4 linked regions of the Oreochromis niloticus genome follow. The protein of the gene in region 1 binds, or shares a complex with, the protein of each later gene. Links are inferred from orthologs where the notes say so. Each region holds a gene or a part of one and is shown in the gene's direction. Other genes may lie near its edges. The genes, in order: cwc27, srrm1, armc7 and snrpd1.

Evidence for each region.
Region 2: cwc27 (region 1) and srrm1 share a complex: the UniProt entries of both Homo sapiens proteins name them as parts of the minor spliceosome. The link is inferred for Oreochromis niloticus from reciprocal best matches to the Homo sapiens genes CWC27 and SRRM1.
Region 3: cwc27 (region 1) and armc7 share a complex: the UniProt entries of both Homo sapiens proteins name them as parts of the minor spliceosome. The link is inferred for Oreochromis niloticus from reciprocal best matches to the Homo sapiens genes CWC27 and ARMC7.
Region 4: cwc27 (region 1) and snrpd1 share a complex: the UniProt entries of both Homo sapiens proteins name them as parts of the minor spliceosome. The link is inferred for Oreochromis niloticus from reciprocal best matches to the Homo sapiens genes CWC27 and SNRPD1.

The regions. Positions count from the first base shown.
Region 1 is NC_031972.2:12,013,606-12,020,517, reverse strand, and holds the start of cwc27 (spliceosome-associated protein CWC27 homolog), read left to right. Parts: upstream 1-3,895; 5' UTR 3,896-4,282; coding exon 4,283-4,324; intron 4,325-4,452; coding exon 4,453-4,549; intron 4,550-5,011; coding exon 5,012-5,124; intron 5,125-5,235; coding exon 5,236-5,379; intron 5,380-5,541; coding exon 5,542-5,640; intron 5,641-5,728; coding exon 5,729-5,832; intron 5,833-6,912. Other genes in the region: ppwd1 (peptidylprolyl isomerase domain and WD repeat-containing protein 1), read right to left, coding at 129-311, 395-476, 559-740, 828-1,017, 1,208-1,398, 1,484-1,931, 2,051-2,171, 2,328-2,431 and 2 more. UniProt on the Homo sapiens protein: As part of the spliceosome, plays a role in pre-mRNA splicing. Probable inactive PPIase with no peptidyl-prolyl cis-trans isomerase activity. As a component of the minor spliceosome, involved in the splicing of U12-type introns in pre-mRNAs.
Region 2 is NC_031983.2:27,507,875-27,515,307, reverse strand, and holds the start of srrm1 (serine/arginine repetitive matrix protein 1), read left to right. Parts: upstream 1-4,421; 5' UTR 4,422-4,552; coding exon 4,553-4,573; intron 4,574-5,486; coding exon 5,487-5,576; intron 5,577-7,433. Other genes in the region: tdh2 (L-threonine dehydrogenase 2), read left to right, coding at 82-152, 237-386, 479-651, 730-820, 903-1,172, 1,259-1,404. UniProt on the Homo sapiens protein: Part of pre- and post-splicing multiprotein mRNP complexes. As a component of the minor spliceosome, involved in the splicing of U12-type introns in pre-mRNAs. Involved in numerous pre-mRNA processing events.
Region 3 is NC_031973.2:5,031,996-5,038,835, reverse strand, and holds armc7 (armadillo repeat-containing protein 7), read left to right. Parts: upstream 1-4,156; 5' UTR 4,157-4,376; coding exon 4,377-4,467; intron 4,468-5,221; coding exon 5,222-5,365; intron 5,366-5,447; coding exon 5,448-5,791; 3' UTR 5,792-6,315; downstream 6,316-6,840. UniProt on the Homo sapiens protein: As a component of the minor spliceosome, involved in the splicing of U12-type introns in pre-mRNAs.
Region 4 is NC_031985.2:21,347,933-21,355,529, forward strand, and holds the start of snrpd1 (small nuclear ribonucleoprotein Sm D1), read left to right. Parts: upstream 1-4,579; 5' UTR 4,580-4,720; coding exon 4,721-4,734; intron 4,735-5,294; coding exon 5,295-5,371; intron 5,372-7,597. Other genes in the region: ankyrin repeat and IBR domain-containing protein 1, read left to right, coding at 1-235. UniProt on the Homo sapiens protein: Plays a role in pre-mRNA splicing as a core component of the spliceosomal U1, U2, U4 and U5 small nuclear ribonucleoproteins (snRNPs), the building blocks of the spliceosome.

The DNA.
Region 1 (6,912 bases):
ATAAGTTTGAAATGGTAATGTCACCATCTTACATGTAGCTGTCGTACTTTTTCAGAAAAGTAAATTGAAATCTTATTCACACAATGATAAAATACAGGTCTGAAAGTGGTTTTAGTTGGGCTACTTACAGTGGGTACCACGGTGACAAAAAACTGTGAGCCATTGGTGCCGGGGCCTGCGTTTGCCATGCTAAGTGTGTATGGGCGGTCGTGTCTCAGCGTGGCGTGGAACTCGTCTTCAAACTCCCCTCCCCAGATGCTCTCTCCTCCCATGCCTGTTCCTGTGGGGTCTCCAGTCTGAATCATGAAGCCCTGTCAACGACAAAGAGACAAACACTCAGAGCCGGAATCACACAGTTGATCGCCAAGCTTCATAAAGAAAAAGGACAACGTACCTTGATCACTCTGTGAAATATGTGGCCATTGTAGTATCCATTCCTGCTGTGGACGCAGAAGTTCTCCACAGTTTTGGGGCATCTAAAATCAAAGAGAGGAAAAGTTCTGTTTCTGTCTTCTAAAATGAAAGGAGGAGCCAAAAGCATTCACACTGAGGACTTACTCCACAGGGAAAAGCTTGATGTGGATGTCTCCCATAGTGGTGTGGATGATGGCACTGTCAGACACTCTCTTGGGGCCCTCGGCCTGCGTGGCGGCCATCACCTCTTCCTTTGAGGGCTTCTCGTTAAAGATGTCTCTGTCCGAATCGGCGCTCTTGGTATCCTCTGGTTCTCTCTTCGAAAACTTCAAAAAGAGACGACAAAAAACTTATAGTAAGAAGGGAAAAAAATGTAGCACTGTCACTTTGAAATGAATGCCTTTCTGTCTCACCAAGTAAAAGCGGTTCTTCTTAAAAGCACTACAGAAGATGGTTGGGTCAGGCTCTACGTTCTGTAAGGCAGGGTTGTCAGAAGCTTTCATCTCCACAGTGGGTGCCACTTGCATGGCCTTTGCAACACCCTGGAACAAACTCAGCTGAACCACACGGATGTTCTCTAGCTTCCCAAGGATCCGCACACATCTAGAAAACAAGAAACACAGGGCTCGGGAGTTATATGTCTATATAACTCTGCATGTGAAGTGGTGACGTTATCACTTTTGATTTCATCAGTTTGTATACTACAATTAAAATACTCATTTACATCTCTTAAACATTATTTTATTACGAAACACAACTGTGATTTAGTCTCCACCTTCATTTGTGAGCATACCTGTTGGTTTCCACATTGATGACCTTGATGCCCAGCATGGTCCCATACAGAACAAAGTGGCCAGTCTCATCAAAGATGATGTTTGTCAACCGGATACCATCCACCTTCTCCAGTTCTCTCTCCACAGCCATCCGCCTCCCAAACTCCATGTCAGGAAGCTGCTGTCTCATCTGCTGCAGCTCTGTGAACATCTAACACACATATAGCAGCTGTGATTAGCGTGCAAAATTCATAACGCTAGCAATGATCCAGGCTGAAAGGTGAATGGCAGGTTACCGTTAATGATTCATCAAACACTCGCATTAGTTTTCCTGTTAGGAATCGGAAGATTCTGACTTTCCTATCAGAAGCGATGGTGGCCATCTTCTTCCCATCGGGGGAAAAGGCAAGGCTGGTGGGATAGGTTTTGTGTTTTGCAAATTCATACAAGTCAGTGTCCGTTTTGTATTCCCAATCCACATGTTTGGGGAACTTGAATTCATTTGGAAGGCCCGTCCAGTACTCCAGCATTCCCGCTTTGTCAGCAGACACAATGACTCGAAACTTGGGATTCAGGCGGATTTGGGAAAGCGGTGCGGAGTGCATTTTGTCAAAGACATGGAAGGGGTCATTGCCTCCCCTGCCATCATAGATGAAGATCTTCCCTGTGGACTTTTCTGAGCAGGCTACTGTGCAGATGGCATCTCCAGGATTATAGATCCACTCAGACTGGCCTGGATGAAAGCTACATACAGACAGATCACAGTAGAGAAACCAATCAAATTAAAGGAGAACTTGCACTCCAAATCTATCAGCAGTAAAAACATTATTGTGTCTAGCAAGAAAATTTTCATTTAGACTCACCCCAACTTCAGCATATTGATCATGTCAAAATTGACCACGTCAAATACTTTCATGGCCTGATCATCACCAACCGAACAGAAAAGGGCCCCTTCCGCACTGACCGCAATGCTTTCTATTACACCTGGGCAAAAAGCAAGAACAGTGTTTATACACATCCTTTTCACTCATTAAAGACACGTTATATTATAACATACAATGCACCGGGTCTCCATAACCCCCTCTCAGTCCAGTGCCACTCCGATTGTTAAAAAGAAGTTATCACGAATTAAGTTCATACCGAGATGACTTCGAAAGTGTTTGACAAACTCTATCCCCTCGTCCTCCTTCTTCTTCCAAAATTTGACATGGCCATCCTGGCTGGCAGTGATGATGAAGTCTGTCCTGAAACAGCACAATGTTATGGCGTTATTTCAGCTTCAGCCTACTTTTCCTATCCACATCCCATCTACTGATGGAGTTAGACAATCTTTATTTGAAGTAAAGAGAAAATTTTAAAAATCAGGATTGCGAATATGGATGCATCAAAGTTTTTCTTTGTTTGCCTGTTTTGTTTTGGGGGGTTTTGTCATTCAATTTATGCCAGGGAAACAGATAATAATACAATAATACACTTTCAGGCTAAAAGTGATGAGACCCAACAGATAAATGTTAGCCATTGCTGATGATAAAATGTCCTCTTACACGCTCACAGGTCAACAGCAAACAACACAGCTTATATGAGCTGATGGAACTTCATTGTTATTACAGATACAGCACTCAGTGGCTTTTCAAACAAACAATGAACAAACACAACCAACTAATAACATGTAATACAGCCTGCAAGGTTCCTCTATAAACAGTAAGCTGCAGGAAATTGGCATGACTTGTCACAGGAATGATAGAAAATACATCAATAATAATTATTAAAACGGCTGCCCACTCTTAAATAAAAGAACTACTAAATTCTGTTGCTTCGTTTAGATTTCCCAGGTGATGGTATCATAAACGTCACCATTTTAGGTTGACTTTTTTTTTTACATATTACTTTGGGACAAACATGAATGCTAACAATGGATCAGCACAAAGACAGTCCTGGAATATGAGGTATACTGGTAATACTAATAATTGATAGTTTAGGCATTTTAACATTGGATCGCTTTTATTAAGGTGGTTTAATAAGCTGGATGTAAGTGAGTAGTGCTGTAAAGTGGAAAAGCTTTCTCACACATATAAAGGAAAGTTTCCTTGTAGCTGCTGACTTACTTTGTACAAACTAAGTGTGTGATGACGTCCCTGTGCATATAGCTCCGTTCATACATTGCAGCCGACGGGAGGTTGTCCAGATAGACACGCTCGTACTCGAGTACTGAGAGAAACAAATACACACAGAAGTTAACGGACGGCGTTTGGCGCTTTATTAGCAGTGATTAGAGAGCAGTCGCAAAAAGCTGCCAGTGTGCCGAATGAACACCCAGAATCCCACCTTTTCTTTTCTTTGCCTTTGTGGCTTCGCTTGGCATGGGTCCAACCCACTCGGCATCTTCTTCGTCCCCATCCCCATCATGATCATCATCTACTTTGCGCTTCAGTTCCACATTCTTTTCAGTAGCCGCCATTGCCGTGATCGCCCGTGTGGTCCTTCCGTAAATACGGTACTTCCGTTCAGCGCCTAAATCTCAGATTTTTTGTGTAGTTGTTTTTGTTTCAAGTACAAGTTGCTAAAATTCTACAATTATTAATTATAAACAACATGTTATGTGTCTCACTTTTTCTCAAGAACACATAATTATTAGGATTAATGAGATTACGCTGTAATTACACGGAACTTGTTGTTTCCAGGGGGCAGTTGTGATAGCGCACTAGGAGCGATCCAAAAATCTGTTTCTCGGGGTGAAGTACCGAGCTTGTTTTGGATTGTTTTGTCATCAAAACTCTCGGAGTTTGATTCACGTGCGAATAAAAGTTTTTTATGTATTTTATGAAAACAGAAAAAAAAACAAATTAAGTGATGTTCTTTGAAAAAAACGGAACAGAAAATCAATAATTAAACCGAAACCCCTATGTTCTCGGAAGTAAACAATCAACTCATGTATTGCCAATATGGCTGTAAAGAGTGAAATGTGAAATGTATCACATTTAAAGTTACCTACTGTAACAAACTTTACTATCTGTATATTCGAGGAACCTAAAGTTCAGATCGTGTGAGAATATATTTTTTATTCTGCTAACAAAACACAGAAACGTAGCGGCAGGATGAGCAACATTTACATTCAAGAGCCACCAACAAATGGGAAGGTAAGCGCCAGTTTACAATTTGAACTTTAGGTTTTTCGTGCATAATATTGCGGATTTGTAGGTACCAATAGCTAGCCACTCCTAACACTGTTTAGCTCTGAATGTATAATTTCGTGGTCTTTTCGCAGGTCCTGTTAAAGACAACAGCAGGTGATATTGACATTGAGTTGTGGTCCAAGGAGGCTCCTAAAGCATGCAGGAACTTCGTGCAGCTGTGCATGGAAGGTAAGAATTCACTAAGGAAGTGCAGAAACCACTGGAGAATAACCTCAAATTCAGTTTGCGCTAAATTAGGCCGAATTATTCCAGGCGTGCCCTTAAAATATATTGGTTTGGTAAAACTAGCCTCTTTAAGTATTAGGCCATGATGCGTGTAAGTGTTATATTTTTTATCTTATTTTGAAGATTATTGATGGACTAAAATGTGAAGAAATTTTGAGTCTTAGACATAGTTACTTATATATTTCTTAAATGTTAGCAGTCGTTTTTTTTTTTTTTTGTTCACTTGTAAGCAGAGAAATGGCTGCTGTCAGTGTACATAAGACTTTTTTTTAAATCCCAGAACCTATATTCAGCTGAGCACTGTCTTTATTTAAATGTCCTTGTTGGCTCAGATTTCTTGATTGTTAGTAGGGAACTGTTGTTGCCTTATTGTTTTTTAGTATACAGTATGTCTTGATCTTCTAGGTTATTATGATGGTACAGTGTTCCACAGAGTGGTGCCTGATTTCATCGTTCAGGGGGGAGATCCTACTGGGACAGGGGCAGGTGGAGAGTCCATCTATGGCCGACCGTTCAAGGTGAGAATGCTTTTCTTCTCATTTTATTTTTAATTCTGAAGTGGATTTCTAATTCCTATGTGCAGGTGACACTAAAATACAATGTCTTCTAAACTTTCTGTCGCCTTTCAGGATGAGTTTCACTCTAGGTTGCGCTTCAATCGGAGGGGTTTGGTTGCCATGGCAAATGCAGGGCCACATGACAATGGCAGTCAGTTTTTTCTCACCTTGGGACGTGCAGATGAACTCAACAATAAACATACCATATTTGGCAAGGTAAAGCTGTAAGAACATGATGACTTATTTTCTATCTGTATTCATGAATGAATGCTGTCTTCAATGAATATATGAATATACCAAGATGAGTGCCATTTTCCCCAGGCAGGATGTGATAAGAGTGTGCCTGACCATTTCTATTTTCTGCAATCCCCACTCCAGGTCACTGGAGACACCGTGTATAATATGCTCAGATTAGCAGAAGTTGAGTGTGATGGTGAGGAAAGACCTCTGAATCCTCACAAGATCAAATCTGCTGAGGTATTTTAGTTCATTCTATTTTACCTGCTCAGCAATATGTTTAGTATCTAGCTTCTGTAATTTAAGCTTTTCTTTTTGTCTCTCCTAGGTGTTACATTCTCCGTTTGATGACATCATACCTCGTGAAATAAAGAAACTCAAAAAGGAAAAGGATAAAGAAGAGACGAAGAAATCACAGTCAAAAGCCACAAAGTGAGTGCTCGGCCTTCATCTGTCTTTCTGATTGAAACAAGATCAAGACTGTACCCAGGAGCACCTGCATTTTTGTACATAAGGGAATATATTATGCTCATTTCCTTATCTATATATAGATATTTTCTTGTACTTTACTAGAGTAGCTTTGTATGATTCACAGTACTCATTTGTCTTATACTGAGTCTTATACTGAGCCTTGGTCTATACTTCATCATCTATGTAAAACAGGTTAAACCTTTAAGGCAACCCATTCTATATGCCAACTTTTTTAGCTACCCCCGGTGTTGTTGCTCCTTTAGCTTAGCACCTACCAGAAGACTACAGAGGTCATAGACCACAAAGTTATTCTGAAGTGAAATCGAGTGTTTAAAAACAATGAAAGTGTCCACTGTAGCTGCTGTTTATGCTTCTCATACTGGTCACTGGTGGTCACACTGATTATCTCTTCATCATGGCACATGTTAGTAGGTGAGATATGTTAGACAGAAAATTAACTTTTTCCCCCAATTGATGTTATAAGCAGGAAAGATATGCAGTGGTCAGTGTCATTGGCGGCCAAGGCTCGTTGAGGCGCCTGGGGAGGGACATTTGGCCCGTGTTTCAATCCAACAATCTAGATACTGTAGCTCAAACTGCCAAAAATGTATTGCTGTTTCTGATAGAATCAGAATACACAGTACATTACATTGTTGTGTATGCATAGGCACAGTCCAGTTAGCATGCCCATGCTGACCCCTGTCCACCACAGAAAGTACCAAGCATCAGTATTGAACTACAGAGCAGTGGAAGAAGGTGGCCTGGTCTGATGAATTATGTGGATGTGCATCATTTACCTGTACCTACCATCAGGCCTCTTTCATTTTTCAGCAATGGTTTGAGGACAACAGGCGCAACAATGATTTTTTAAGTGTTGACTTGGCATCCAAATTCTACTTAAAGGATCTGTTGCTTGCATCTTTGTGCCAGATACCATAGCACACCTTCAGGAGTCTTGTGAAGTCAGGGGCCAACACAGAGGGACCAACAAAATATTAGGCAGTTGGCTATAATGCCTGATTGGTGTATGTGCTGTTATCC
Region 2 (7,433 bases), on another chromosome or scaffold:
AGATTGTAGAAATTCCTGAGATTTTGAAACTTGCTAAAAGGTTTGAAGTTTAAATGTCGTCATATTTTTGTTAATGTCTAGAAAACAGTATGGAAGGGACAATGTAATCCTGTCAGACATCAAGAAGCCTCCACCTCATGTTTACGCCAGTGGTATGTAAAATCTCATTCAAGTATGCGTATTACTTTAAAAGTTAATTACTTTATTTTTTTTCTGGCATCACTGTTGTTTTATAGGCCCGTTTGTATACGCTGATGTTTTGGACTACAAACACCTCCGAGAACTTATTGTAAATAACCGCATCACTTGGCTGGTCCACTACAGCGCTCTGCTTAGTGCTGTGGGTGAGGCTAATGTGGCTTTGGCACGAAAGATCAACATCACAGGTCTGCTTGAATATGCACATGCTTTACACGTAACCAGGTTTTAAGGAACAATCAGGGTTGAACTCGTGCTCTCTTCTTTTCTGCCCATCCAGGCCTACATAATGTGCTGGACTTGGCCTTAGAGAACTGTTTGCGCCTCTTTGTCCCCAGCACTATTGGGGCATTTGGTCCCTCTTCTCCACGTGACCCGGCCCCTGACCTCTGTGTTCAAAGACCTCGAACCATCTACGGCGTGTCTAAAGTGCATGGTGAACTGATGGGGGAGGTAAAATGTTTTTTGCACGCGTGCTTACAGAGACGCTTGTGACTCCATTTCATTTTCAATCAGCTTCTCTTTCTTTAGTATCTCCATCATAAATATGGCTTGGACTTCCGCTGCCTGCGTTACCCTGGAGTGATATCAGTTAACACGCCTCCTGGTGGTGGAACTACAGGTATTACCTGTGTGTGTTGTGCAAATGTACTCCAATCCGTTGGATGTCATGGACTAAGTGCTCCGGACTTCTGTCTTCACAGACTACGCAGTTCAGATCTTCCATGATGCTCTCAGCACGGGTCACCATGAGTGCTACCTGCGACCCGACACCCGTCTTCCCATGATGCATATCTCTGACTGCCACCGTGCCACGGTAGAGTTCATGCAGGCTCCAGAGTGCCAGCTGTCACTGCGCACCTACAACATAGCTGCCATGAGCTTCACCCCTGAAGAGGTGGCCCAAGAAATCCGCAAGCATCTCCCTCACCTCAAGGTCACCTACAATCCCGACACTGTCCGCCAGACCATTGGTATGGTATCTTTTTGTTTTTAAATCACTGGTTTGACTGATAATAAACCAATATAAAACTAAATTGTCCTTGTTTGTTTTTTGCAGCAGACAGCTGGCCTGTGAGATTTGATGACACCAATGCCAGGAGAGACTGGGGCTGGGCGCCAGCCTTCGGGCTTGAGGAGCTGGTGTCGGACATGCTCCGCTCCATCCGAGACAAGAGGACCAACGAGGGTTTGCCAGTCAGCTAGCAAAACCTGCTGCATCAAGACTAACCAATGCCCTACCTACCACTAACTTTTCCTCAGTCTACATTTACCAACAGCACACTTTGTTTTACTTCACTTTTACAAATTGTCAACCAGTATCATCTGTTTGTCTGGAGCATCGCTGCACCGTGCCAGGGACTGATTGTAAAATGGAAATTCTCAGTCATAACCTCTTTATATTCAGTGGAAAGTGAGATGTCAAACACATGTGCACCCACACACACACACACACAGACACACACACTTCAGTCTTTTCAGGGAATCAGATACTGTCAAACCTTCTCTTCATCTTTGTGGTTTTTATTGTTCTCATGGTATAAGCATCACTTTACACATGGGCATGTTGCCTCAGGTGGAACAGAAATATTTCTTAAGCTTTAAAGAGTTTCAGATGTTGATCACATGCATGGGCACACCAGCGTGTTTCAGCGTCTGTTACAATATCTAATACAATATGGACAAGTTCCACGTGTAGAACAACAAATCTGTTGGACATTTTGAATCCAGGATCATCTGGAATGACTGGCTCAGTTGACTTTGGACTGTAATGAAAAATCATGTATCCTGGCTGTTTTGTAAAGCACTCTTTTATAATATAGACTATCAAGTGAAACTCACAGTATATACAACCGCACTACCCTTGCCGTGGCACAGAACAGGAAGCCTTTACTTTTTTGCCAGCGGTGTGATTACAAATATGAATGAGTAACAGTATCAAATGAGGCCGTATTTACTTAGGAAAACAATATATTAAAAAATGCTGTGTACTTTGAATCAGACCTTTAACAATAAAAATATTATTTACCCAAAGAGCACTGAATATCGTATGCTGCCAAAGTTTCTTTTTTTCTGTGTCGTTTTTACATCCGAAACACCCGATCAGCATCAAAACAAGAACACTATAAAATGAAAAATTTAACTTTTATTTAAGAAATAGTTAAAGTTTTCTCATCTATGCTTTCATTCTCTAATTTATTCGAGTAACATATACAAAATTAAGGTATTCACCAGCCACTTTGTTAGGTACACCTGTTCAAAATATCTAACTAGCCAATCACACCAATTAAGGCATGTAGAAAGAGTCCAGATAACCTGCTGAAGTTCAAACCAAGCATCTGACTGGGGAAGAAACATGATTTAAGACACCTTAAATTATTATTTTCAGACTGGCTAGTCTGAGTATTTAAGTTCCTGATCTTTTGAGATTTTCCAACACAGCCATTTGTAAGATTTGCAGAGGTTTAAAAAAGAGAAAATACCAAGTGAGTGGCCGCTCTGGTGAAAATCTAGCGAACAGGAAGGCAAAATAAAAAAAAACATGTTATAACCAAGGTCTGCAGACAAGCATCTCTGACTACACAACACATCAACGCTTGTAGCAGATGGGCTATAACAGCAGAAGACGACACTGAGTCCTACTGGGTGAGCTAAAAACAGGAAACTGAGGCTACAAGTCACACAAGCTCAGCAAATTTGGACAAAATAAGACCGGAAAAACATTGCATGGTTGATAAGGCTCTGTTTCTGCAGCAGCATCTGGATGATAGAGTCAGAACTGTAGTAACAACACGTAAGCATGGATCCATCCTGTCTGGAATAAGATAAGATAAGATAAGATAACCTTTATTAGTCCCACACGTGGGGAATTTGTTAACAATTCCAGCTTCTGGTGGAGGTATAATGGTGTCGGGGGGATTTACCAAAATTTCTGCAGAATGTTTCCAGCAATCTGTTGAATTTATTCTGTAAAGAACTAAAGGAAATGGTTATAGAACAGGGCTCCAAATATAATGTCCAACTGATTTGTCTGTGAAGATTCTCAGTCATCCAGGTCATCGTAGTCAAAGGAGTTTGCAAAGAAAAGCGTCTGGACTTCCGTCCAACTGATTCATTTCTTGACAAATATGGTCCAAATTTGATTTTCAGTGCCCCCATCTCTTGTTATGAATGTGGAATTTGTTTTCTGGCTGGAATTGGGACGGGGGCTCCCTCCCCCCGGAGCTTCATGGGAAGCTCTTTAATTTTATTATTAAGGTTTCCCAAAGAAATCTCTTCAGAAGCAAAATTTTGCATCATTATTATACATCACAATTTTTTTTTTGTTTTTCTCATTTGTTTATCTGAGCATTTATTCTTACTGGTGAATGGCGGTTGGTGAGGTTCAGGTTCAACAAGCTCCTAACTGGACAATGGATAAAAACAAAATACTTTTTAAAATCAACAACATTTGAGCAAACCAGTTTAAACCAAGGTTTGGGTCTTATTCATATCTGTGCAAGCTGTCTCTGCATATTGAGGCACATTCCAGTCACTGACTGCTTTGCCAAAATCACTTAATGCAAAATGGACTGTGATTTTTGCAGATGACATTGTGATCTGTGGTGAGAACAGAGAAGAGGTATGAGTAAAACTGAGTACACGAGAGGAACAACACAGGTTAGCAAGGAAGGTGAGATGAAATAAATGAATGAAAATGAATGAATGAATGGTTTGGACATGTGCAGAGGAGGGATAGAAGCTATATTGGACAAAGGATGTTGAAGATGGAACTGTCAGGCAGGAGGAGAAGATGAAGACCACAGAGAAGAAGGATGTTGCAACAGAGGAGGATGCTTGGGATAGGGTGAGGTGAGGGCAAACGGAGGCTGGGGTGACCCCTAGGAGCGGCAAGAAGAAAGTACATAGATGGGTTTGTTTGTTTGTTTTTTAATTTAAACAGAGACATTCCTAAGTGACCTCAAAATCTTTTATTTCAGTGTACATTGAAATAAATAATTCCATGAAGATGAATATCTCCCCATGTTTACCTTTACCAGCGTTTGTTGGAGCTGCAGTTATGTGGTCAAAGCAGAGCAATGAGCTAAATAATGGAAGTTCGTGTGGCGCACTGAAGGCCTGAAGCACATTTAAAGCCAGCAGCAGAATCTCAAGAATAACAAAAGCTAAGCTAGCGACTGCCATATTTCGTGCATCAGGTGATGAGCGGAATCTTCTTCCTCCTCACTGTAGCTGCAGTACCCGTTGCTTCCTGTGGGGGCACTCCATTTATCCGGCTCGTCACCCTGAATTTCACCGGCGGAGCAGCACACGGCTTTCTCCACAGCAGCAGTTACGAACCATTTCACCTAAAATGGACGCGGGATTCTTCCGCGTAAGTTCTTCAAACTTTTATCTTTGTATTTGGTATATTATTATTTAGCTTTATGTAGATCTATATACGTTTTATGGGATGGATGTTTCCTATGTGTCTTTAGTGAAGAGCCATGCAGCTAGCTAAACAGCGGTCAGGGCTTCGTCTATCAACTGGGAGCCAACAGTCTCAAGATTTGCAATCAGTCTGCTTCGCCTAGTGTATTCTGGGAGTTATTGCGTGTTCCCTACATTGATGTTTTCTGTCCTATAGTTTATGAAAATGTGTAGCTTCCTAAGTTAAAACCCCGTACGTGTTATTTTACAGACACATTTACAGGAAATAGACGAGTCAAGTTAGCTAGCTAACTAAAGATGGCGCCCGGGCGGTGCATCGCTCCTGTCTCCATGAGCTAGTCACGACTGCTGCTGTGCTGGCCTTAGCAAGTCCTCCGTGTTTGCTGAATAATGACATTAATGTGTCTTTTAATATTCTGTCAATGTCAGCTCCGCTGTCAGTCAAAGTAGCCTTCGGGCTGTGCCTATTATTAGCCTGTGCGTTCGCTTTCGAGGATTAAGCAAGTGGTTAGCATGGCTAATGCTAGCCGACTGGTGTCAGTGTCGTTTGCGGCTCAGGTCGAGGAGCTAAAAAGAACATGAAGCGGCGCTCTAGGGAACACACGTGTCTTAAGTCTTTATTTTAAGACGCGTTAGCGTAAGCAACGTAATGTTTTTCCATCCTAAACTTTGACTGTCGTTAATAATGTTATCGGTAAGTAAAACTGCTGTAACTAACATGGGCCCAATAGTGAGGAGGCTGTGCAGCCTGAGACTATAAACACTGTTCGAGACGGGTTTCTGTCCTCCTCTGATTTTACATGTCCAGTGAAAGCTGATCATCACGAGTCCGCTGATGTTGGCTGTTATTTCTGCAGGGTACGAGTGCGGAGCAGGACAACCGCTTCAGCAACAAGCAGAAGAAACTGCTGAAGCAGCTGAAATTTGCAGAATGTTTGGACAAAAAGGTAAATGATTACCCGCAGTGACATTTGTTTTGACATTTTTTTTCCAAATAACTGTTAGTGATTAGTAAAATCAGAATATTTTAATCTTCAAAAATCATGTTAAATAGTTATCTACAAACTTGTATCAACATGAGCCTGGACATTCATACACCACAGGTATGAGGGTGTCTGTGAGAGACATTTTAGTGGTCACCACCTCACCAGGCCTGTGATTAATGAGCTTAAGTCAGGTTTTGTTTTTTGTTTTTATCCAGTAGCCAAAAATTAAAGGTAAATGTTCATTTTTCTGTTAATTAGGCATTACTATAACTTTGGTTTAATTATATATAACCTGTTTATATTTTTAGTCTCCACCCAAATGTCATTTTTGAACCTTTGCAGGGGACTGCCTGGTCATTAACAGGTGGGACAACAATTATTATAGTTGAGTAACATTTAAGGAAAGCCACAAAAGTTTTTGATTTAAAAAGTCCTTCTTTTTTGTCACTGTAACGTCTTAAAAGGACACAAAGAAGTGACAGTGGGGTTGAGGGTAGGACGCCATCTAGAGCGCACCATAGTTGAATAGAAGTGATTATTGGAACAGGTTATCACTTATAATGAAAACTTGACACATGATGTTTTCAAAGCAGATCTTAAAACAGCCAAATGTGTTATCAGTTGATAAATTAATGTTAAGCGTTGTTTGTATTTGTCTTCTGTCTATTTTTATTTGTATATCACGTCAGGTTCATGTGACCTGCCCAGGGGCTTGAAATGAAAATGAGCTTTTTTGATAAATTCTGGCATGTATAAGTTTTGTATTTTTTTGAATCGATGACCACTAAGTGTTCCTATGGTGCACTGGTTTACACATTTGTCTTAACAAGCAAAAGATCCCGGGTTTGTTCTCCGGAGGAAATACAAATCCCTCTGGGGTTGCATCATGCCAAATCAGACATGAAGAGCTACCTGTTGTGGCGACCCTTGTGTAGCTTAGATTGACGTCCCTTAACATACAGCGTCACAGTCAGATAAAAACAATTTTAAGGTGCAACGAGATAAAAATTAAACTGGATCCCAAAAGGGAAACTTCTTTGATACAGCAGCTAAAAGTTAAGTCAAATACAACAAACATAAAACGGGACAGCTTTATAGAGTAGAATGAGACATCTCATAAAGTAAATGTAATATTGCAAAACTAATATCTTATGTTAAATTAAAATAAATACAGTAAAATATAAATTTATACAGAAATATAAAGCAGAGCTTTTTACTACATTTTTCACCCCAAAGCCATCCCTGGTGAGAGAATTTTAGATCTTTTATTTGACAAAGAAGGTTTTAAAATTGACCTTTTGTCATTTTTAAATACAATTACTCAGCTGTTTATTTTTACCATGTAAGTCAGATCTTATAAGGATGGTAAAGCTTTTTTTTAAATGTATTTAAATCCTTGCCATAGATGAATCACTGTGTTTTGTATTGTGGGATTTGTGTGTAATCTATTTAGTCGTCAGACATCAGAGTGAAATGGACAGGTTTTTGTCAAATAACACAGTCGCTTTGTGCTCTGATTGCATTTTGTGCCCATTCTGAGCCAGGAAAAGCCATGTTGCATAATAATATATTTATAGCAAAGCAAAATAAAATGGTTAAAAACGACTTACTAAATGTGGCGACAAAACAGAATCGCAAATATCAGATGGAATTAAAGCAGCTGTGTATAAAACAGTGTGATCGGGCAGCGCAGGGTTGAAATAAACTGTTAAGATGAGAGAAGAAAACAAATGGTATGAAAGAGATCCTGTATCTGTTCAGGTGCTTATAAACTGAAACTTACTGTACACTGCAAATGGTGCTGCTTCTCTTCCCTAA
Region 3 (6,840 bases), on another chromosome or scaffold:
AATGACACGATACCTGTTCAAATAGCATCAATTAACACACAAATTCAGGTTTTTTTTACTTCTATATGATAATTCTTCATAATTAAAGAATAAGAACAAGTAGTCTGATGTTCTGTAATCATTATGAAGCTATAATTTGAAATACAATAACACATTACGTTTTTGTACAAAGTATCGGATCAGTATCGTCGATACCACCCTGAATTTGACTTGGTGTCTGATCAGAAAGGAAATCAGTGGTATGCACATCACCACTATGCAGCCGGCCTCCTTCAGAGGAGATGCCCCCTGCTGGTTAACAGGAAGAAGGCAAGATTAAGGGATTTCTGCACAGGCAGACCCACAAGCTACATCCATGTTTTGTATTTACAGTCTATGGTTATACTGCATCTGTTATTTTCTATTGTTAACTATCATAACTGCTGATGTACACAAGCGAAAGATACCCAGCTGGATCCTGGGAGGAGACAAATCCCTTGGCGGGTTGCGCCTGGCATAAAAAAAGTCTGTCAAATCAAACATGCGGCGCTACCTGCTGTGTTGATCCCTTGTAAATAACAGAAAAACTAAGAGTAGCTTTCTTTATTTTAGAGTGGAGAAAAGCAAACAAGTACATTTTCTCATGTAAGCACAATTTCTAAATCCTTTGAGAATTTAAAATTTTGTACTTCTTTACAGTAGAATGCTGGACTAGCTCCAAATGGCCTTTTCTCTCTATCTACAATGTTTAGTTATAAGTTACAGATCTTATATTTGAGTGAATAATTATTTCATGTCACACTGACAGTGAATTTAAAACCTTTATTTTGACAGTTCAGCGTCAGTTATTACTGAAAATACAAGTATAAGGGATTTTAGTCGTGTTACAGCCATCAGACTGAATACATCCCAACACCAAGGAGTTTGATTTTCCTGCTTCACTGAGCAAAAACTGAAGGCAGAGCTGATGTTTGTTGAACGGGATTAGCGTCTGTGCTTTGACTTTTAATCCTGACTACAATAAAGTCACACCAATGAAATACAAATGAAAACCTCCACAGTGTGCATTTTAAATAAATGATCTTTAATAATGTATAGCACAAATAATTAATAATTGAAGAGAGTTTCATTCATACAGTCCATTAGGTTGCAGTCAACTCTGCCCCCTGCTGGAAAAACAAGTAAGTAAAGGAAGATGCTGGTCAAGCTCCTTTACTGGGCATCTTGGACAGTGTTGTGTCCAGCCCAGATGTCTATACAAATCTGTGAGGGTTACTTCAATAAATCCATTACTGTAAGCAGGCCTCAGTAAAAATATTCAGCAAAGCCATCTTTGCACATGTGGACATGTGCAGCGTCCACCTGTGGAGACCTGCTCTGTATCACAGTCTGCTGCAGAGGCACTGAGGTTCAGGCTGCTGCCGCCTTCAGCCGCTCCCTCCTTGCTGCTTCTTCTCGGTCAGCTCGTCGATCTGCTTCTGCCGCCTCTCCAGGACCTCCAACCTCTTGGTGTCGTTGCGCGCTCGCTCCTGAGCCCTGAGTTCAACGACGTCCTCGAAAAACCTGTGTCTGCGCAACAGAGGAAGTATCGAATGAAAACAAATGAGAATTATGAGAATTCATTAGAGAACCAGAAAAAAATGGTAAGATTACAACCTTTCTTCTAAAGTGACGTGGGTGGTTCAGTGTGAGAAAACAGATTTTGATTTTACTTTCATGGAAAAATATAAAACTATAGCTTTACCAAAAAAAATGTTTTGTATATTCAGTTTCTCTCAGTTTAGTTTCAAGTAGTCTTCAGAGTGTTTTTGGAAACCTACTCTGTTTCCATTTTTCTAACAATAAAAAAAGAAGCTGTTGTCCAGTGTAACTAAATACTCATCTTTTCTTTCTCTTTTGTTGAATTTTGACCAAAGAATCAGCGGAATCATCAGGATTCATCCAGTGATGTGAATAAAAGCACAAAAAGTACTTAAACACATCAGATCACCTTTCCTGGGTTCACCTGATGTGATTCTAAAGACAACAGTGAGGATTAAACACGTTTTCAACCACAAGAAATCTAATCACAGTCATCGCAGAAGTCTGCTTGCTGTCGTTACTGAAGCTCTTTCTCCACTAAGTTTTAATAATGAGGTTATTTCAGGGCTCCTTCAAAGCTTTTAGGGATGTCAATTAAAAAGAAACAACCAGCTGTGTCAAAATGTCCAGTCCATACAACAAAGCACTGAACAGTAAAGATTTCTCTTTGGACTTTTGGTCACACAAAACACAGCTGTTCAATCTGAAGAGCTTCTCCACTGTGCTGTAAAATCGCTTGTGCACTAACGGCATGAACGAGTTAGTGGGACTAAAAGTTAATTGTATTGATAGGGCTTTTCTAGAGGTCTTAAAAACAACATCTGCAAATTCAATACCTTTAACATGATTTAAATATTATTAAAGGCATTTTAGATACAGCCAGGCAGGAGGTTAGAGCCCATCTCAGCTGTTACAGAGCAGGTTATCAGTCTGCTGCAGGGCCAACACAGACAGCTGTTCACAGTTCAGTCATTTTATTGTTCCTGCCGTTAAACCTGGTTTACAGACAGGCTCTCCAGAAATCATGCACAAACAGCAATACAAAAACAACAAACAGCAATACACAACAACCACAAAATAAATCCACATTCAAAATACACCAAATATACAAAATCATAATGAAATGTATCACATAAACTGATTTTATAACGCTCCTGCACAGGGAACAGAGCAGCTCTCTGTCCTCTTACACCTTACTCGTGGCACTGTCGGCATTTCTTAATTGAATGTTACTTAACGAGACCTTGTAATAACCTTGAAGCAAATCTTCATAGCTGGGAACTAGACAGTTTTATGTCAGTCAGGGAGCTCATGGACATCACCACATACTGAGTTTCCTCACTCGCAAATTCTCCGCCAGATTCTCTGAAATTTATTCTTTCTTTTTTTTTTCCTTGGGAATGTGTCTTTTTTTCTTTTTTTTTTGGGTATTTATCGTCTTGGAACTTTGCTCATTTTTTCTTGGGAACTTAATGATTTTTTTCTCATAGGTTTGCATGTTTTTTCTCATAAATTTGTCCTTTGCTAATTTCTTTGAAATGTCCTATATCTTTCAAATAAGCTTGCTTTTTTTTTGATTTTGTAATTTAATGCCTCTGAACTTTGCTCATTGTTTCCTTAGAAATTTGCCACAAGTATGTCTTTTGTATATATACATATATACAGTATATGCAATTTATTTTCTCGGAAATGTGCTCCGTTTTTTTTTAACAAAGTTAGCATATTATTGCCTTATAAATTTGACAATTTTTCTAATAAGTTTGTCCGTTGTTTTTCATTATTGTGCCATTATTTCTCGTAAATTTGCTATTTTTTTTCTGATACGTTTGCCATTTTAAAACAATAAACTAGCTATTTATTTTTTCGTTAATTTGGCATTTTTTCCCTACTAACTTTGAATGCTTTCTCTCTGTAAATTTGCCCATTTCTTTCATCAAAAATTAGATTTATTTTTTTTTTGTAAATTATCAATTTTTCTAGTAAGTCTGCCGAATTTCTAAAATTCTGACCTTTTTCTCTTTAACTCCTAAAGGGCTGCAGAATGCTGGGCCTAATACGCAGTCGTACTACTTCCCCTGTAGCACCTTTTAACAGCAAAGTCGTGCTGCTTTTATAATCTTCACTTCTGATCGGCTCTTTCGGAGCTGCATATTTATTAGGTGTGCAGTAAACACTTGCATGTGCACATGTCACGTACATCATGTCTGTTACGTACAGGTGGCTGAGCTGTAAACACGCTTTAACGTTACCTGTTAATGAAAGCAGCAGCGAGTCCAACGATGATCGTCCCGAACAGGATCGGTTTGGCGAGCCGTTTCCCGGCGGATAATTTGTGCTGCTTCATTTTCGTGGCTTAATTTTGCACTTTAAACACTGACCTTCCCCTACAGTTAGCTGAGGTGCTGTACACGCCCCCTTCGTGTCCCACAGTTTTTAGCAACTTCCGGTACCACGTGACACTAGCTTCCGCTTGACAGTTTTTCTATTTTGTGTCATGTTGTATGAGGGGGTAGTATTGCCACATTAACAAAAAACTATGATAGACGACCTTTAACTGCGTGTGAAAAATGTAAATCAGATTTGATTCTATGTAAGTGCGGCTTGACCGTATGTTAGCAGATCGAAACTGATTTTAAAACAAAAATCGTTTAAACGGAACCTTTGTCTCATCCACGCAGCTACACGGAGCAATTCATGGTCAGACCGAGCCGGGAACGAACTGAGAAGAATAATCTTAAATCATTTCCTCGAAAAAAATCTCGTTTTATTTTATTTATTCATTTTTTAGCTAAAGCGGAGAGCGGAGCTGGTGGTAGATGATGTGGAGGAGCGGCTCGTCCGGAGGCTCTGACCGCTTTGAGTATTTACAAACTCTGGTCACCGAGTTTCAGGACACCGACAGCGACGGTGGGAGCAGCTGTGTTTGGATTCACCTTTAAACTCACTACTCTGCTTTCTTCTGTTATCTTTTTTCCAATCTTGCCTTTTCGTCTTTCTGCTCCAGCATAAGATCCACAAGACAATAATATGAATCATAAAATAAAGTAAATAGAACAAAAACATTAACAAGAGGTACCTACAGAAAGCCTAGGTGCTCCTCTTGGGAGACGTACATCATCAAATAATTATTTAAAATTTGAATTTATTAAATACACATTTATTAAATTGAAATAATTAGTTTTATTTAAAATATATTTCAGTTGTTATTATTTCATAGTTCTGGGCTAAAACACATCATGAATTTATGAATGAATGTCAACCTCACCTATCAAAGTCAGGGGGCGGGGCTAATGCTGATCTGGTCAGTATCTTTACCTTTCCGGAGTCGATTCTTTCAGTGGGTGTTTCTCAGTTGCAAGTACGCTAAGGAGTCCAGCCGTTCAGCTTCAGAAAATGAATTATTAATTCAGCGCGTGTAGCACATTAGCTGTGCGCAGGCAATCCGGGCATGGACTGCAGCATTATCTGGGATCAATCTTCTTAACTTGCTGTGCAGGGTAACCAATCAGATTTTAAGGTCTGTTGACCTGCCACAGATAATTTGAAATGAACTAATATTTTAATGAATTAATTAGACTTTTAATTAAATATTTGTCTATTTAATTTTGGCACTCCATAGTTCTCATTTTATGTGATTAAAAGCTTTGTTTTTCCTCCTCAGAGGCGAAGGAACAAGTTCTGGCTAATTTGGCCAATTTTGCATATGATCCAAAGAACGTGGAGTATCTGAGGGAGCTGCAGGTGACTGACCTCTTCTTGGACATGCTGACTGAGGAGAATGAGAACTTTGTGGAATTTGGGATGGGTGAGTGTCACATTGACATCTCGTTCATTGTCTGCAGCAACTGTCAAGCCTTTATCTCTGATTTTGTCTCTCGTGATCTCAGGGGGGCTCTGTAACCTCAGCATGGACCCTGAGTGCAGAGATGTCATCCTGCAGAGCGACGGCATCCGCTTAGTCACAAACTGCTTGTCGAGCCGGAGGGAAGAGACGGTCCTGTCAGCCATCACCACCCTCATGAACCTCCTGACACCTGTGTCACGCTCTCAGATCACCGATCCCGCCATCCTGCAGTGCATGCTGCGCTTCTCCCTCTCCGAGAGCCCTCGTCTACGCAACCTGGCTACCGTGTTTCTGCAGGACTCCTGCAGCGAGGAGCAGGTGGCGCAGGCGCAGCAGCAGATGGAGGGGCAGCAGATGGCAGTCGGCATCCCGCTGCCCAAAGACTAAAGACAAAGCACAGACCTTTATTTTTTTTATAAGTGTGCTCTCTGTGAGAGCGTCACAGATGATTCACCCAAGGGAGCCAAAATTCGATATGTTGTTCCAAAAAAAATAAAAACATATTGGATGTCCACTCGTAAGAGGTAATGGATTCACTTGACAAAAATGATGCTGATTTTTTGGAATTAATAAAGTTATTATCTCATTAACTGTGAGTAAACCTTTCATTATGAAAAGTGTACTCCCAGTTTATGAGGTATTTAAGGCATCAACAAGATACCTTAAAATACCAAAACAGCAGTGACATGATGGCTGCCCTCTGTGAGCCTGGTTTCTTCAGGTTTCTTTCTCTTAAATGGGAGGTCTTTCTTCTTGCTGTCGCCAAGTGTTTGGTCAGAGGCAGCTGTTTGATTGTTAGGGTTTTCTCTGTATTACTGTAGGGTCTTACAATATTACGTCTTGAGGTGACTATTGTTGTGATTTTGTGCTATTTAAGTAAATTTGGATTAAAATGAAAGCGTGTGGTTAAATTTGACTTCGAGTCTGAAGCCCTCTCAGTGGTCAGTAAGATCAGGAAATTCTTCTTCTTCTCTTCTTCTCCCTCTGGGGGTCATGTGCCTCCATCTAAACCTATCCGAACATCGTCCTTTGTCACACCAATCCTCTGCATCTCATCCTTCACTACATCCACAAATCTTCTCCCAGGTTTTTTTTTCCCTCCTGCCTGGCAGCTCAGGCTTCCTTCGTCCAATATATCCACTCTCCTTCTTCTGCACACGTCCAAACCAACTTTAGCCTCATCTCTCTAACTTTGTATTCTAAACACTCAACCTGAAATGCACGTACATTACATCTTAAGCTTTAAATCAAAAGCCTGACATTACTGCACTCTTCACATATTCTTTCAATCCTTTTGGAGGATACATCCAGAAATCCATAAAACTCAATCTTTGCTACTTGAAATGCTATTGTCCCTCTTAACCATTGTCTTGTATACTAAACCAAGTATAGACTTAACTAATAACATGTTATTTCTTTGCTTAACATGTGACATC
Region 4 (7,597 bases), on another chromosome or scaffold:
GGCTGAGCACGCCGCCTCCTGCCTCTCCACTCCAAACCCCGCACATCCTAGTTCCTATAACCGGGAACATGCAGCCACGTACAACAGCAACCCTAAACCAGACAGCTCCTACAACCCCTGCCCTGAACACAGCAGCTCTTACACCGCAGAGCGCCCTGCTGCCTACGCCCTCGAACGCCCCCTAAATCAGAGCCCCAGCCCCTACCCAGTTGTGCCTCCCATCTCCAGAGCTTGAGCCAGAGCTGCTGCTCTCACCAGTGATTCCCCAAGGGGGCCCTTTCACCCCCAGTGACCCTCAGAGCCTGGAGCCCTTGGACCCCACAGCCAGCGCTCAGCTGCTGGATAACATCATGGCCTGGTTTAACAACAACATAAACCCCCAGAATAACCCGCAGAGCCTGGCTCTCATCCCCTCCCCGCCCACCACAGAGACGGACTCCTCTCCTGACACACACACCGAGACTGAGAGCCAGACCTCCGCCCCCATCCGGCAGCCCCTGGAGGGCGAGTCGGAAGTAGGCAGAGGGTTGGCGACCGGCCCACCGGGAGCCGAGGGCGTGAAGACGTCGAGGCCGAGCACTCTGGAGCTGGAAAAAAGAGACGCTGGAGAAGAGGGTGTGGACGCAGGGTGTGTGGCTGACCTGTCGCTGGACGAAGCGCACACACACCCGCACTCACACTCCCAACATGGAAACAGTCCCGCACACACTGCCCCGGCAATGGAGAGAGACTCAGACCTCGTCCTTCAGTTAGAGGAGGACCGGTCACCTGAAGAGTGGACGGAGCAGGAACACCTAGTGTGAAAGTGACAGATATAGAGAGAAAGAGAAGGTAGAGCCGAGATAAAGAGAAAGAAAACCAATCAGAGAGAAGCACTGATGGATGATGGAAGATGTGTGATGGTGGTGCCTGTGTTTGGGGGGTGGAGTGTTTACTGTATGTATTATACTGTATTTAGAGAGGACTTAAAGACCTGTGGACTCTGTCCAGTAAAGATGATGTCATACACGTTTTGATTATTTTTAAGTGCTTTTTGTCTGCTCTAAAAACAGACAAATTATTCTTTGAAGTGTTTAAACCATGAACGGAGAGCTACTGATATCATAACACAACAAAATGCTCCATGTTTTAGTTTAGTTTAGTTTTTTTCTTATTTTAATTTAATTCCCCACCTCTTCTGTTTGTCTCCTAAGTTTGTTCAGGGTGAAGTTTTGGTGCTGTTCATGCTGAAATCCAAACTTGCCTCATTTAACTACACTTGATTCTCACACTAACCCAACCACAAGCCAGTTCAGAGCTCCAAGAGCCAAATATATGAAGATAACTGTAACTTTGGAGCCTGTTTATAGCGTGCTGTACAATCAGAGGGCCTAATTCTGATTTCTGGACCTTCATGCACACTGTGCCTGTTTGTGTTAGTGCCAATACAGTCCTGATCTTACTTTTCAGCAGGCTGGCACAGTCTGCTGCGTAAACGTCACACTATTACAGCACCTCTCTGCACGTGAAGGTCAGAGGTCAGTCCCAGCTGCAGAGCAGCGCCCATAAAGCTGGAAGTTCAGTGGGTGCTTGTTTGCAGAGTGGATTGAGTTCTCTGTTTTTTGTTCTGTTTGGGCTTTTTTTGGGGGGGGGGGGGGTTGTCTTGTTTTGTTTTTTTGCCACTCGCTGCACATTTCAAATGTTTTGTATCAAAGATGCATCTTCATGTTTAATCTGCAGAGATTTACAGTGTTTTTCTGCCACTTTGGCTCAGTACTTGTGCACCAGATCTCACGTAGCAGACAAAATACAGTGGGTATTAAATGAGGTAATGCATCAACCAATCAAATTAATCTGAGAATAATGATATCCAGTATTTAACCTCCTCAGATCATTCATAGTTGCTTTGATTTTAAAAAACTACAAATATCACGGAGGAAATAATTTGGCATTTTAAGCTGAAGACTGACTTCAGAATGATCCTTTACTTTATTAAACCTGATAAATAAAATACAGTCAACAGGTTTAAAGTGCTTCACACAAGTCGTCCAATTAAAATTATTAAATGTTTAACCAATTAAAAGAGTAAACAGTTAGCAGACGGTAAACTAAAATATGCTTTATCACTTTGGATTATGCACAATGTGTTTTAAAGTTTGACTTTACACTGCAGCACATTTAAAAAAGCTGATTTTTCATAAAAAGTGAGATTTCAGCCACTTTCACAAGTTTTGTCTTCACAGAAGCTGCTGTAAACAGTTTTTATACGACTGTAAAATAAATAAATGAGAATATATTGTTAAAACGCTGCTGCACTGATTCATGAATCTGTTTATTGTTTGGTGCTCGTGTGAGTCGGTTCTTTGAGTCGTGCGGTTTCTGAGCCAAAGCAGGCATAACAAATACTGTAAATGTGAGCACATTTTATGGTTTTATGTAACTTTTTATCATATCTTTTCCACTACCTATAGCGCCCTGCAGTGTGCTCTAATTGACGGGACGTGGGTTTGGGTTTCTACTGTATTTGATTCTTTTTATTCCTTTAATTATAGACAAGATGTTTCTTCCTGTTGAGACCAGAGTTGTTGGATCTGTGTGCCTTTTTCTTTGTTTTGTTTTGTTCTGATTGTATTTATCTGTTGCTATTTATTAGTGTCATTGCTTTTTAAACATGCTTCATAATGAAAGATGATGATGAAAACACTTTAATACACTGATTTTGTTTTATCCCCCCCCCCCGGGTGAGTCGCAGCGCCCACATTTTCAGCCCTGAATGAAAAACCTCTTTGAGCCTCTCTGAAGGAATCCGCTGCTTTTCCACGATGATTAAAAAACACTTTATGTGAATGTTGACCTTTGATTTGACACCGCCTCTGAGATGTAACTGCCGGGATGTCATCAAGCCTCAAATCTTTAAACTTTATTGCCCAAATACAATGTTTACAAGGGAACTAAACACTGCCTGCTGTGATGAGGACTGATTTGGTGCTCTGGGGAGTGAAATGAGAATAAATGTGAGGATTTTAAATGTCCTTTGATGGTATGCCAGACAAATACAAAGACACCCTTTGTAAAACTCAAACTGACTCACTTAAAACTGATTTTTAAGCATTTTCTGAAACCTGAAGTGATAAAGTGAGAACTGTGAAGGTGGCTGGCTCATAGCATTGCACGAAGCCCGCTGAGATGTGAGGGCAGCTGTGACATTTCAGGCTCCACTCCCTGAGGAAAGAGGGATTCACGTCAGTGTTTGGGCACGCACTGCGTCTTTGTTTCGCAGAAACATGCTGGCGAGTGTCGGATGTGTGGTCGGGCTGCAGAGGGACAGCGGTTAAATATTCCCTTTTTTGTATGTGTGCCGTCGATGGCGTCACACAAGCAGTTGCATTAGTGTTTATGATTTAGTGCTCCCTCATCTGACATCTTCAGAGTTTAAGAGATTGAAATTGCACTCTCACAGATTATACTTGATACATTCCCAGCTGGTCAAAAGAAAGGGTTTGATGTGTGGCCAAAACTAAAAATGAAAGTGTCAGTGCAAAGTTTACTCTCAATAAAAAGAACTGAAAGTGCACTGCAGTGACATTTTTATTTTTTTGTTTTAGTGCTTTGATTTCTGAACTTCCATCAGCAAGAAAAGGGAACATGTTCCCTGATTAGTCTCCTATTTATCATAATGTACAAGGTAGACTGACATTATTTCACTTCATGTTGCTGTCAAATCCGCAACAGCTCTTAGCATGTACATGGAAATGATAAGTAAACCCATTATCTTTAGGTTTAGACTGCATTTATTTGAAAAACTAACACAGCTGCACCTCAGGAGAGCAGAAGTGTTAGATTTTTCATTTGTTTTTATTACTTTTTTTTAATTGATTTTGGGTTCGGGAAGGCTTTCCTTATTTTAATTTGTTTTCATTGTGTAAAATGCTTAGTTTGATTAGTTTCACGATTTATTTCTGTAATCTGTCAGGAGGAAAATTTTTAGATATTCAGCTATTACAGCACAAATCCAATGCGGCATCTCAGCCTCACTAAGTACGACCAAACTGCCAAAGACTTAAACAAGACACAGCACTGTGCAAAAGACTTGAGTCGCCCTTTGCTTTCTTTATATTTTGCTTTTAAGCAGCCAAACTTCTCGATCTCTGTTCTTGAGGCTTTCTGAAGGTCTTTCAGTTTTTATTTACACCTCAGGGATGCATCTGGCTCTTCAGTTCATACACCTACTTGTCAGTCTCATCAGAAATCTTTTTCACTGGAAGGATGTCTGTGAAGAAGATCTATTTTCCTAGCAAAGTAGAAAGAAATAAGGGTATCTCAAGACGTTTGCACTGTATTGTAGCGTTTTTGGATTATTTGTTATTTAGTTTACACACAGTAAGTTTTTACTGTTGTTACAGTTTACTACATTTATGTTGACACTTTGACAACATATATTATAATAAAAAATATATATATACGCATTTCTTCTATTAAATATTTGCTTCTGTAAAGTTCAATAAATCCAAAGATTTGTTAGATTCGGGGCATATGTTCAAAACGCTGTTTATTCTTCCATCGGTAGGCGGCAGTGTTGTCGTGCAGCGTGTCTTCTTCTTCGTCGCCGTCGCTCCTTTAATGACGTCGTAAGTGCGCGAGTCAAACGTAATTGTTACCACAGCGGCCTGTGTGTGTTTTCACCCGCTCGCTGTAATTTTTCTCTTTGGTGGAGGATTTGTCTCTACAGTCCATCACCATCATGAAACTAGTCAGGTAAGCAGAGTCTGGAATGCGCCATTTAACGAACAGGTGAACGTGGGATGATGGAGTGAGGGTGCTGCGGCTGGATGGGTTTAGATGGAAAGCGGAGAAGAGGAGGATAAGATATGAGCGGGAAGCATCGGGCCGAATGAATGGAGGCTGTCCGGAGTTACAATGCTCACACTCGTAGTTAAAATACACCTGCAGTATTAACCCTGACGCTCGGTAGTTGAAATTAGCTCTATGCATCGACGATTTTTAAACATACTTTGGTTCGTGGACGTTAGCAGACTCGCAGGCCCGGCCTTGGTTAACCTGCTACTCAGCGAACGAAATGAACGTAACCTAAATGTTTAGTAGCAGGAGCACAAAGCTAGTTCAGTATTTGTTTTAGTTATGGCGGTTAAATCTGGAGGGTTTCAGCGGGTTTTCATAAGGTCATCTCACTCCTGGGGTGGTTTTGTTTTGCAGCTGAAAGCTATGCAGCTAGTAGCTAGCTTGAGGCTAGTTTGTGGTTCATTTCCAGGCTGAACTCAAACATAGATGTTCGTCTTCTTCCACGATGCCCACAGGTTTTTGATGAAGCTCAGCCATGAGACGGTTACCATCGAGCTGAAGAACGGCACCCAGGTCCACGGCACCATCACAGGTAGGACTCAGCTGGAGGTGCCTTAACGCTTTTATTAGTTGTGCTGCAGTTTATTAGCTACACTAAGCTAATTCAGTCCACTAACACTGCTGTAGTTCAGTTGTTTCAAAGTAATTTTAATGTAACGGTGGCCTGTAGGGCTCATTTTCAAGCCAACACCCAATTCTACCTAAAGCTAGAGTCCTGTGGAAATACTGGGAAATGTTTTTATATATATATATATATATATATATATATATATATATATATATATATATATATATACATACATACATGTGTCTCACTTAAATATAAGCAAAGTATGCAGGTCCCAGGTTTGCGATTAATCATTTTAAAGATCAATAAACTGGTTTTAGCTGAATGTAACTTTCCCAGCTCCCTCTTTTGGTAAATACAGTGAGCATCACAAAAAGTGAGGTTTGTTCCATAGTCTTCTTATGCTTGTGTATTCCCTTACATGTCCCAATAATACTTCAGTGGGAAAGCACTATTAAGTCCTCCTGTGCATTGTACTTCTTCGCTGCTGTTTTCAATTTCTTAATAAAAGAATAGCAATCATAGCATCAGTATAAGGATTTATAGATGTCACTGAATTCCTGGAAGGAGTTTGCAGAAATTATCGAAATGGAAGACGGGGGATATACAAAGGAGGAAGTGGGGGGGGAAAACAGATCTAACCTCAACAAAGAGTTGTAACCTAAGATATTTTATTTGTTTCTATCAGCTGGCACTGCTTATGAAATGCTGGGATATGACCGCACTGTAATTAGCACATACTGCACCACACACAGCATAAATGTTATAGGACCTAGAAAGATTTCCCACAGAACTCTAAATCAGATAAAACTGTTAGCTTTGCTAATTCTGTGTACTGCGTGACTTCATGTCATTACTCTCCACTGTTAAATGTGCTCCAGTGCAGCCCTCCATAATCCAAACTGCACAGTAGTCAACATAGATGATGCTGTGTTTGTGGGAAGGAAGTAACAGCGGTGTTCACCAGGAATGTTAGAAACACAACAAAGAAATGATGTGCAAATGAAGCATAGAACCAGTACTGAGCCAATTCATCAGTTGCATTGAAAATGGGTTCATTCATTCACAGCTTTGTTTCAGTGACATCTAGTGGTGGAGTAGGAGTCAGCAAAACAATGTGTCGATAATCATGTGCTGATTGTAACAAGGGTTTGTTTGAATGATATAAATACAATTTTGCAAAGGCGGTCAGTTGATTCTGTAAACTTATGTAATAGTTGGAAGGAGGCGTGCTTTGGGAAGCCCAGGATGTGCTGGGATGGTAAGGTGTGCTTATGTACAGGGGATTTGAAGATTTTTATTGAGAAACGATATTTTTTTCCACCATTGTTAGACTGACCTGGCTTCTTTTGCTATTGACAACTTTACAGCTTTCGAAAACACATTCACATGGTTCTGATGAGGGGTTACGAAGCATCTCTCGTTGCATAGCAGTATAAACTTGTTTGGACCAGTCATGTGATTTCAGTCAGGTCCACACCGAAGCAGATGTCACTGATCAAGTGTTTGGTGTTGTTGTTTTTCCTCGCACCGATGCGAGCTTTAAAGCGGCTTGTATTGGAGCATTAGTGTCATACAGTCATCCACTACAATACAGAAAAAAGCACAAAGTACAGACTGTGGCCGCAGATTATACTTTCCCTAGTTTTTAAACACTTCAGCTGTTTATGTCATAACTTCGCCCTTCTCCACGGTTGGCTGGTTGATCAACAGCACATGTGGCCCACAGACAACCTCCTTTGACACGTGCGCCATCTGACAAGAGACGCTTGCTTGTAGGTAGATGAGCTATCCACGTAATAACAACACACCACCTATAAACCTTAATTTCAGCATTTGTCTAAACCGTGTCAGTGATGACAGTCTTCCCTTCTTCCTTCACAGCCATTGGATAAAAGACAGACTTTAGACAAGTGCTTGTATGATGTACAGTGATGAGGGACGTGAGAACGACTGACACAAAATGCAGTGCAGACCCACAGAAAGTGGGCATCTGGTCACCCTTCTTCCATTGTGATTCAAGTCGTCCGCAGTAAAACACTAACAGATTGATGCCTTACAGTTACTGGACTGTTGGCAAATATGTTTGCATTCAGTGCTGACATTTTAGGTTGCTATGTAAAATATTAAAGGAGCTGGGAATAGCTGAAAGATTTAAAACTGCATTTTCTTTATCTGCTTGTCAGACCA